Linked DNA regions of Coturnix japonica. The protein of the gene in region 1 binds, or shares a complex with, the protein of each later gene. Links are inferred from orthologs where the notes say so. Each region holds a gene or a part of one and is shown on either strand. Other genes may lie near its edges.

Region 1 (6,098 bases):
ATTGTTTTTTGTTTTTAAGTTGGACTGCCCAACTACTAAAGTAACTATGAAAATTAACTCCAAGTACAATTCATGTTATGCTAACAAATTCTTAATTTGCCACCACCACCAAAGCCAGGTATTGTTGCCATACTACTTACGCTGAATGCCTAACTCGGAAACTGAAAATTTACACCCCCCAAAAAAAAAAAAATTTTAGAAAATATCATAGTATCATAGTCTCGTGCGGGTTGGAAGGGACCTTAGAGATCATCGAGTCCAACCCCCGGGATTCGAGCCTCTGTGTAGCAGAGCAGCACTTCTACCTCTTGTGCCACAGGGGGGATTAGAACTCCGAGCCCCAGTGTTGCAAGGTGGCATTCCTACCACTGCACCACCGGGGCACACTATACATTAAAATCAAGTGAGAAACTAGATAAAAATAAAAAATTATGCCTTATTTAGCAAGAGTTAAAACAAGAACACAAATAATTAGGCTTCTTTAACAATAATGAGATGAGCCACCTGAATTCTGGGAAATGTTTTTAAACTGGAAGAGAGCAAGATTTGGACTAGCTATTATTAGGAAGAAATGCTTTACTGTAAGGGTGGAGAGACACTGGAACAGGTTGCCCAGAGAGACTGTGGGTGCCCCCTACCTGGAAGCATTCAAGGCCAAGCTGGATGGAGCTTTGAACAAGCTGGTCAAGAGGGAGGTGTCCCTGCCTACAGCAGGGAGGTTGAAATGAGATGATCTTAAAGGTCCCTCCCAACCCAAACCATTCTGTGATTCTATGATTTTTTTTTCCCCTTGAATCCAAACAGTGCCACAAGCAAACACCAGAGGAATAGGTATGTCAACCCAAGCTGAAATTCAATACAGCATTCAAGATACAAAGATGCAGATAGTTAATTATCCTGTAAGAATTCAATCTGTCTAATCAATAAACACATAGTTTTCATTATTTATATCAATTGTATTTGAGTTTACCACAAGCAGACAACAAAAAGCCTCAAGAATTTCCCAAACAGACCAGTTTTATTGAAGTAAGTAAAATGAAAACAGACAACTCCTCCCTATCCTTTGGCTTTGACACTATCTAGGACTAAGAATGCTCTCCTGAACATTCAGCTTGAATCTTAAAAATACTGCACCAGTAAATACCAGTATTTTGCAAGTAATGAGGATTAACTCATAACACCATTGATTCAAGTATAAAAAAATTCCTGACTTTGTAATTTAAGGATGTACAGCTACTAAAGTTTTATATCAACTCCTGCAAAGTAATTTAGCAAAAATAAACCAACATAGTAAAAGCATTACAAAAGCATTCGTAAGCCATATTTCCTTCCATACTCACTTTCTTCATCATCATCAGAATCTGAAATGTCCACATCATCCTCTCTGATGGTTATTCGAGCTACCAAAAATGAGATCATTATTGGAATACTGTGCAAATTTATGAGGCAACAATTCCAATGCTAAATGGAAGTGCACTGACAACAGTCTTCAGTGTGACTAAAACATCAAAATTATCCACAAGACTTTCTGAAATAACTGTTTCAATCAGAAAACCAGGAGGTTCTTAAGAACATCTCATACGATCACCATTAGAGACTCTTTTTTTCAGTTGTAACATTACACAGTTCTTCCCCCTCCCAAACATCTTAAATAAACAGCCTTTAGAGTTTTAGTTACCCATTAGAATAGATCTTCTGAAGTCTAGGTACATAAAATGGTTTGTACTGCAATCCAGTCATTAAAGTTAAAGTAATCAATAGAAAATATACAATTAGATTGTGATGTATAATTCTGCATACACAACTCATATACAAAATAATTATTTTGAAATAATTAAGAATATTAAGAGGGAAAAAAAAAACTTACAAGGAACAAACTGGGATACAATCATGCTCAAGCATGGCCTAAGATGGACAGTTTGTGCTGACACCAGATTGCCAAGAAAACCCAGATATTCTTCCACTACCTCTCGGCTTCTTCTCAACCATGGCAGCTTCTGAAAGTAAGTAAAGACCAAGGTGTCAAACAGATGTTTTGAGTACTAAACTCTTAACCTTTCCATATAATAAATCAGTATTTACCAGCAAAACGCTGACCAGTTGCTCGAAGTCCTTGGTCAGATATGTGACAGAAGTTCGAAATTCATGCAGCCAGTTAATGATCTGGGCATCCTTAATATAAGCAGGAATAATATACAGGAATAATATATGTATTTTAAAAAAAATAAAATAAAAAAATCACAAATCTATTTTAATAAAAATATGACCAAAAACAATAGAATTTTTTTGAGTAGCAAAACCCACAGAATCACAAGTCAAAGATTAAGACTGTAAATTAAAATTATTTTCATACAAGCACAGAAGAAATTTCTTGAACTAAACTTGCACCCTCACCAATGAAAATTCTTTAACGCAAGAATACACACACACAGGCCGACCAACAGCCTGCATGGGAAGTTTATGTAACAAGCTGAGCAAGGTATGCAAACCTCATTCACAAACAATGTATCTGTTTTACTTAGAATCTTACTTTCCTTTTGGTTTTGCTCTTAGTTTAAGCAGAGGAAAATTCAAGTATTCAAGTAAGAAATATCTGGAAGCAGAACCAATTATACGGAGAAATTTTTACACTAATTTTGCTTGCTCTCCCCACAAGATCTGCTAAAAAAACGTGTATTTTACAGAATACTCTATTTAGAAGGAAAAGAAAATCTAGATAACATTATGCTTCCTGCAGCACCCTTCTAACAACTGTGTGGTTTAACTAAAACACTACAAAAAGGAAAAAAGAAATAGAAAAACACAGTAGCTATCAATAGCTGTAAGGAACAGCCCTGAAATTACTACTTGTAACAACTAGATACATAAGAATCTTAATGCTCAATTAACTAAGTTCTTAGTGAGAGCTGAAAAAGGCAGTAATTCACAACATAAAGGTTCTGACAGTCAGCAGTTGTGGTTTTACCTACATTAAGGAATCTGTAGAGACAGGCACTACTGACCTAGTAAAATGGTGTCTGGAAGAAACATCTCACCAAAAAACAGTTTCTCACTCTAAAGCAAAGTCAGTAAGCATGAGACAACACTTATCAGGATTCTGCACATAAGATCTGCTCATAAACAGACAGTAGCTGCTTTTCATTACTTCTGACAGTTACTATGAAGTAAAAAGCAGTTATACGTTATCCGGCATTTAAAGCAAAGGATTTGCTTTTAAGCACCAAAACAACTTGTGCAGTGACATTTGGACAGCTGAGTGTCCCCATGCCATCACCTTACCTTTATGTCAGGATCTGACAGCTGATGCTTTAGCAGCTCAAAGTCAGTGGTTTCACCCTTCACGGGGAAGAAAAATAAATGATGCTTGTTACGCTTCTAGAAAGGAACTAAAAAACATACATCAAGAAATAAACAACAACAACAAAAAACACCACGTTTCACTGACATATCTCAACAACTGAAAAGCGTTTAATCACAACGCACAGAACGCGAGGGCAAAGCACGTGAGGCAGCGGCGGCAGAACGCGTCCGAGAGGCGGAGCAACCCCTGCAGACATTGGCGTCCCATCCGCTCCACACAAGCCCGGGCTTGTGAGGAGTTTCCGCTCGCACAGCAGAACCACCCGGCACCAGCCCAGAGCCTCGGACAGGGCAGGGCAGCTCAGCTCCAGCTCTCACCAGGACACGTCGCCCACGTGGGCCCCGGTCCCGCGCCACACACTCACCCGTTCGTACTTGAGCAGAATGTCTGTCAGTGTGCCGCCGAACCGCACGGTCTTCTTGGGCGGGGAGCTGATGAACTCGTCCCCCGCGAGCATGGTCACGGCCCCGCGCATGAAGAAAAGCGGAGCCACCTCAGTCCCTGCACCCCCCCGCACTGCGCTACACCTCGTCCCGCGGGCGGCAGCACAGTCAGGCAGCGGCACAGCCATCACCACGCGCCACACCCGGCAGAAAAGAGCGCCAGGCCCCACCGGAAGCGGGGACCGCTCCTCCTCTCGCACCATAGAGAGGCGAGGCTGGAAAGGCAGGAACTGCCCCCGGCGGTGGCAGCGCAGGAGGACCGAGGCGGGCGCTATCCGCTATCCGCGCTCCCCTGCCGGGCGCTGCGCTGTAGAGCTTCCTCGGAAATCTTAACTCCAGATTTGACCTCAGCGCCACGCTGGAGTAGCCATTTTACTGAGAAAACGAACAAAACGCAATTGAATCCTCACGATCCTTGGGATGGAGTCTGCTGAAGGAGGGCTGAGTGCCGTCTGAACAGAAAAGCATGTGAACCTGGGAAGCAAGCACCTGCCAGCACCGAGAGACAGTTAAACCTCATGGAAACTTCATTTTTGCTGTCGTTCTCCAAACGCTCCCAACAAAGCACCGCATCCACATTCCTGTCCCAGTGCAGTAATGGCTTCTCCTCCCCCACCACTGAGCACTGCATGAACAGATGCCGTCCAGTTCCTCAATGCACTCCAAGTGAATATATTTCAGGACATAACCATAATTAAGAAGGAATTTAAAAACATGAAAACGTTCAACAACTTTCACACAACAACTTAGAAAAGTACAAATGAAAACACATTTTCCTATATAATCCTTCAGTAATGTTCAGTGTGCTCCCAACCTTCATCAGTTCAGCCATATACTTCACAGTTCCCTGGCTCACACAGACCAGCTACAGCAACAAAAAGATCTCAGCCCTTCTCCAGCTGTAGCATCTGCTGATCCTCTGGGTTGGCCGCCTCTGTAACAAGTAGCTCCTCCACAACGATTTCCCCCCTGGAGAACCCATTAGTCCCATCAGAGATTGTTAGAAAATTCATTAGTAACTTTCATTTCATTTCTCCCTGTATAAGATGTTCCCATAATAAGCCACATTTACAGCACAGGTGTAAAGAGCCTAACAGCAAGTACTTAACCCTGCAATATGGTTATAAATTAGAGAGATATGTGGTCCTTTGGTAGTCACACAAGGAAGTATCCTTTTGAGCAAGCGTTAAAGCTTAGCCAGCTACAAAAGACTCATGTATAAGCAACACAAAGCTGAAACCCGGTTATAGGAGACCATGGTGTGCCCCGGTGGCGCAAGTGGTAGGAATGCTGCCTTGCAATACTGGAGGCCCTGGGTTCAAATCACCCCTGTGGCGCAAGTGGTAGAAGTGCCGCTCTGCTACACAGAGGCTCGAATCCCGGGGGTTGGACTCGATGATCTCTAAGGTCCCTTCCAACCCGCACGAGACTATGATACTATAGTTGTATTTGAAGGGTGCAGACTGTCCTTTAGGTCTAAAGGAATCAAGCTACAGACATAAAGCTGTGTTCATGCAACCACACACACTCCTACGTGTGTTCAAATTCTTTGCAGTCAACAACGTAAATGCTCCTTGCATGGACTTTGTGCTGCATTGAGCAGCTGACAAGGACACCAGGAAACTAAGATAGTACTAAACACCTGTTAATGATTAGCTACTAACAATTGAGTTGCCAGCTCCTATTTAGTATTAAGCTTCATTATGCAGAATGCAAACAATAGGCTGCATGACAAGTAACTATTTTATATATTAAAAAACAAAATAAAACAAAACCCACCAGCCCATACCATAGCTTATAACAGCTCTGCTCCACAGCAAGCACTTTTTACCTCCTTGTTTAGATACATCATTAGTAACACCATGGTACTCCTCCACGAAGAACACAGTCTTTATTTTTTGATGTGCCAGCTCCTATATTTAAAATTAAATTGTACATACTATTCATAATTGTAAACATTTGAACCTCATATAATTTGAGTGACATGTCAGCAGCCAAATGGCATTCTAACAACCATCCATCACAGTCACTAAGTATCTGATACTGGGTAGAAGATTCATTGTAATTTGCGGTAAACTTAAAGCTGTACTCAATTTACTTTGATAACTATAATTGCAACACTAAATTAGAGAAAACTGTCAGAGCTAGTATGCGAATGGCTGCACACAAGTTTTAGGTTAATTTATAGCTGCTACTCTACTCACCTCAGTTTAACAATTGAAGCTACAGGGAAGTCAGGAAAAATAACTTTTCAGAACATGAAAACATGTTGGTTTCTCTATAACATTTTCAGA
Region 2 (5,097 bases), on another chromosome or scaffold:
AATGTCAGCCCTGCTTCCTGCATGGCATGGGAGGAGTGGTACAAAGGGACATGGCAGGGAAAAGGGGCACAGGGAAATGGAAAGGGACAGGAAGGGAAAAGGAAGGGGAAGCGCAGCAACACCCAGAGGCAACTGACACATGGCCAAAACCCAGGGCAGAAGGGACTGCTGTGACCCAGCACTGCAGGAAAGGATGGGGGTGATGGGGACAGGATGGGGTGCTGTAGGAATGTGGGCTGGGGCTGGCCACAGGGATCGGGGTGCTGCCTCTGCTTCCAATTTAGCTGATCCCTGTCCTGACTGCTGCAGCTCTCTAATCTGTTTGTCTTCCAAAGCCATTAAGCTAATTTGGAGCCCTCCAAAGTCCCCCAGCTCTCATCCCAACCCAGCTCAGCCAGATTTGGTCAATGGGTCTGGGGGGAGGGAGCAGAATTGCTGAGTTTTGGGGGAAGAGGAGACCCGATGGGACCCAGCACCCCAGAGCTCCCCGAGACTCCAAGCGGGGCACAGAGGGCAGCAGGAAAGGGCACTCAGCCCCCCACCACCACGGGAATGGGGGCCGCAGCCTGCAGCCCAGGGCCACCCGCTGATAAGGGCCATCACGGGGACAGCCCAGCGTGATGACAGCTGCAGGAAGATGGCCCTGTCCCCCCTGCAGCACCGGCCGAGGTGTCACGGAAAAACAGACGTCAGCATCAGCACACAGGAATTTGGGGACAGGGCTGTGGGGCACAAGCCTTTCCCCAGGCCCCGCACTGCAGGGGCAGAGGACCACCACTTATCACATATTTTCCCCCCAAAGCTCATTTTTTCCCCTTCCTTCATCGCCCATCATGTCCTCAGCAGGGAGAGGAAGGGGCTAATCCCTGCCCAGGGCCTTGTCCCTCACTCAGGGTGATGCGGTGCTAATGAGGGGATGATCGGGTGGGCTGTGATGTTGCTCCGTGCCACCTCCATCATCTCCTCCTTACCCACATGGGTAATTGGCAGCCTGGTGACAGACAGACTCATTAACAGCTTAATTTTGGCTCGCTCTCTTCCTGCCCAACCCCAGCCTTAGGGGGGCCGCTCAGTGGGGGGATGTCAGCGCTGCACCCCATAGCACCGCAACATGGGGATGGTGCCACCCCATAGCACCGCAACATGGGGATGGTGCCACCCCATTGCCCGATGCCAGCCAGCTTCTCCCCAGGTCTGTTTGCTCCATAACGGCGGTGCCGCGGCTCCTTTGTGCCCGCAGATAAGAGGGGCCGCGGCCGCCTCTGAAGCACCGCTCCCACCCCCGAGCCGGGCAGGCTTTGGGGAGAGGGCAGGGATTTAGGGTGCAGGATTTGGGGCTGCCCAACCACCCAGGTGCCGCCGTGGCTCTGCCACCTGCTCTGCCTCTGTGTGCAGACCCCATCCCCATCAGCCCTTCACTCCAAAGCCACGGCCCCATCTCCATCACCATCCCCCCCATCAGAGAGCACTGGAGGCTGTGTTGGCCCCCCAATGCTGCCCCACCGGATGGAGGCCTGGCCGCCGTTCAAAGCCGTGCTCATGTTGTATAATTTATCAGTGAAAGATAACAGCCCCACGGCTAAACCTCCCCACCCACACACAGCCCGGCACTGTGAGCAATGGGACTCCCAGCCTGGGGAGAGCCCACATGGAGGGACCCCCGGTGTGTCCTACTGTATGCTGGGATGCTTTGGGGTGCACCAAGGCAGAGCTGTGCCCCCCCCCCCCCCAAAATCCCTTCATATATCCCGGCGCACCGGGGGCTGCAGAGCACCTGGGGACGGTCTGTGGGATCCGTGCAGGTTGGGGGCGGGCTGAGGGCTGGTGCTGTGTGCTCTGAGCGGCACCAGGTGCCGGATGGGCTTGTTTGGCTCCAGATAAGGAGGAGACGGCGGCACCGGGCAGGTGCTATAGTGTGGGGGCTGCCCACCCCAACCTCGGCTCCTCGACCCCGGAGGTGCGGGGCCGCCAACCCGGGTCCCTCCGTGTCCCTCCGTGTCCCTCCGTGTCCCTCTGTACCAGCGCATCCCTCCGCTCACACAGCCCGGCCGCATTGAGCCCTTTGGGGAGGGGGCTGGCGGTAGGAGCTGGGTGTCACCGGGGATGTGACACGGAGGGAAGGTGACGCTGTGGGGTGTGACACGGGTGGGCTGTGGGGTGACGCTGCTGCCCCCCGCCCAGCTCCGAGCTCCGTCCCGCCGTGGATCTGCCCCGACCCACGCGGTTCGATCCGCGGCCGCGCAGCGCCCCCTACCGCCCCCTGCGCTGCAGTGCGCCCCCCCAGCCTGCAGGGGGCGCTGCCGGCGGCGCTAGGACCGCGCGGGCACCTCTGCCCGCCCACCACGAATGAGGTTTCCGGATGTGGAAACACGTCATCACCGTGCGCCGCAGCGGGAGCCGGCGCGGGAGCGAAGGGGCGCCGCCATGGCCGGCATTCTGTTCGAGGACATCTTCGATGTGAAGGACATCGACCCCGAGGGGAAGAAGTTCGACCGTGGTGAGATACGACCCCCCCGCTCCCCGCCCCTTCCTCCCACCCGGGGCTCCGAGGGCCGGGCCGGGTGCGGCGGGCCCTTCCCGTTGACGCCCCGTCCCGGCCCGCTCAGTGTCCCGGCTGCACTGCGAGAGCGAGTCGTTCAAGATGGATCTGATCCTGGACGTCAACATCCAGATCTACCCCGTGGATCTCGGTACGGGACGGGCGGGGAGGGGGGGGGGGGCAGCTCCGGCTGTGCGCTCTGAGCGCTGCTTTGTTATCGCCTCCCAGGGGACAAGTTCCGTCTGGTCATTGCCAGCACCCTGTATGAGGATGGGACGTTGGATGATGGGGAGTACAACCCCACTGATGACCGGCCCTCCAGGTAACGTGGCTCGCAGTGGTGGGAGAGACCCCTCCTACAAGGGGCCTCCTCGCAGAGGATGCTCTGTTAGGGGATGTGGGAAGGATGGTCTGACGCTTCTCTCAGCTCCCCTCATGTCATTGCAGGGCGGACCAGTTTGAGTACGTGATGTATGGCAAGGTGTACAGGATTGAGGGGGATGAGACGTCCACAGAGGCAGCCACACGCCTGTGAGTGGCTGTTGAGAAGGGGACGCGTTGCCTGAGGGTGGTGGGGAGGCAGCGTTATCTTGACTGGGTCTCCTATGGGTTTCCCTGCTCTCACTGCTCCTCTCCTCCTGCCCCAGCTCTGCTTATGTGTCCTATGGGGGGCTGCTCATGCGCCTTCAGGGAGACGCAAACAATCTGCATGGGTTTGAAGTGGACTCCAGAGTTTACCTGCTGATGAAGAAGTTGGCCTTCTAGGAGATGATGCACCTCAGAGGGCTGCCTGCCCCCAGAGACATTCTGTTGGAGAGCAGAAAGGACACCATCACCCCAAATCCTGCCCCAGCACCTTTGCTGCCCAGTCCCTCCAGTGGTGGTGGAGGAGGGGACTTTCCCCCTTTGTCATCCCAGTCTTTTCTGACTGTTTCCCTTCTGTGCAGGGGCTGATGCCTCATTCTCAGTGGAGACCGTGGGTGCTCTGTGGCCCTGCCTGCTGATCTCACCTTCCTGCACTTCAAAAGCAGGCTTAGCCCCAGCTCTAACCAGGGGCCGCTGGACTGGGGCACTCACCTGTCTGTGCTAGGGCTGGGCATCATTTTCTAAGGAGCTGTTCTGAGACAGATGTGGCTTCTTAATTAAACTGCTATGTGTTTTCTAGATGTGGTTGTTGTGGCAAGGTTGGCTTCCCAGAATGCCGGTTGGTAGATGAAGATGGGATGCTCATGGAGGATGTTGTGGTAGCAGACAGCAAAGGTACCACATCAGGGGCACTGGCTTTCAAGCTGCAGCTCCTGGAGGGGCTTGGCCTAGTCTGAGTGATGCTGTGTGACCCCAGAGCTCAGCACAGTGAAATTGGCAGGTGGATACTGGAAGGCAAGGGGCATTATTATCTCACATCCCCAGCTGAGCCCACCTGCCCTGCAGAGATGGCAGCCACCACAGGAGGGAGCTGGACACTGGGAAAATCAGGAGCGTTTGTTCCCCAGCTATTGCCTCCCCCAGAGACTGGTGTATGCTCCTTAGGCCAGTGCTACAGCAGGGGGAACAGGAAGACACAAACAATCCTTTAGAAAAATAGGTCTTTAATTGTAAAGCATTCACAGTCTGATAGGAGCAGGGCATGTGCCTCGTGCTGCACAGGTATGGCTGCTTTTGACCTCTGTGGGCCGTGTGATAGCCAAAGGCTTGTGGAAAAGGAGCCAACCCTTTCCCCGTGGCACCTTCCTGGGCATCCAGAGCACGGCTCCTTCTCCTGTGGGATTGCTCTGACCTTTTATCAGTGTTAAATCCCGTGTACAGCTTCATCAGTCCCTGGACTGGAGGTCCCTGCTTCCCCCCGATCTCAGTCACACGAGTCCTTAGCCAGGTTGTGGAAGAAGAAGCGCAGCTTGCCCTGCACCAGCTGTCGGTAGGTGAGGAAGATCTCAGTGACTTCAGTCTGCTCAATGGAGCGAGGGGAGCAGCCTGGCTCCCAGGGCCCTTCCTGAGGGGCAAGAGTGAGATGGGGGGGTTACAGATGCTATCATGCCCAGCGGACACGTGCCCTGAAGTTGTCTTTACTCACACATGGAGGTCTCACCTCCCAGCCGAATGTCTGTAGGAGCAGGAGGAAGGAGTTGGCGTGTCGATAGAGCTGGCTCAGCTGCCCGGCCCCGCATTCCTGGCTCACCTGGCCCTGAGCCTCTGTCACAGCACCCACCAGCAGCACCAGGTTGCACAGGATCTCACGCCACTTGATCTCATCCTGTGGAGCAGTGTGTGTGCTGACCCCACTGGCACAGGGCTGCAGGCCCATCCTTCCCACGCCCACCCTTGATACGGATGGATCCTCCACCTTATCCCCACACAACGCTCCTGTGCTGCTGTTCCTACAAGCTTATTGTTCAGCTTGCTTGGTGACCATACCCCTCTGCTTACCCAGGGGCTCCCCCTCGAGTCCCACGGGCACCCCAGCACCATCCTCCCAGCCCCTCTCACCGATTTGCTTTTCCACTGTCGCATGTTGAAGTCCACCAAAGGCAGAACCACGGGGCAGCTGAGTGCAGGTAGTG

What was found. Proteins that work in one complex are often made in the same cells at the same time.
Region 2: RRN3 (region 1) and POLR2H share a complex: the UniProt entries of both Homo sapiens proteins name them as parts of the pol I pre-initiation complex. The link is inferred for Coturnix japonica from reciprocal best matches to the Homo sapiens genes RRN3 and POLR2H.

The regions. Positions count from the first base shown.
Region 1 is NC_029529.1:43,341-49,438, forward strand, and holds the start of RRN3 (RNA polymerase I-specific transcription initiation factor RRN3), read right to left. Parts: upstream 3,991-6,098; 5' UTR 3,933-3,990; coding exon 3,726-3,932; intron 3,337-3,725; coding exon 3,280-3,336; intron 2,173-3,279; coding exon 2,083-2,172; intron 1,998-2,082; coding exon 1,868-1,997; intron 1,401-1,867; coding exon 1,341-1,400; intron 1-1,340. UniProt on the Homo sapiens protein: Required for efficient transcription initiation by RNA polymerase I (Pol I). Required for the formation of the competent pre-initiation complex (PIC).
Region 2 is NC_029524.1:13,962,367-13,967,463, reverse strand, and holds POLR2H (DNA-directed RNA polymerases I, II, and III subunit RPABC3), read left to right. Parts: upstream 1-2,360; 5' UTR 2,361-2,424; coding exon 2,425-2,497; intron 2,498-2,606; coding exon 2,607-2,690; intron 2,691-2,767; coding exon 2,768-2,861; intron 2,862-2,986; coding exon 2,987-3,070; intron 3,071-3,186; coding exon 3,187-3,304; 3' UTR 3,305-3,705; downstream 3,706-5,097. Other genes in the region: THPO (thrombopoietin), read right to left, coding at 4,389-4,529, 4,611-4,790, 5,024-5,097. UniProt on the Homo sapiens protein: DNA-dependent RNA polymerase catalyzes the transcription of DNA into RNA using the four ribonucleoside triphosphates as substrates.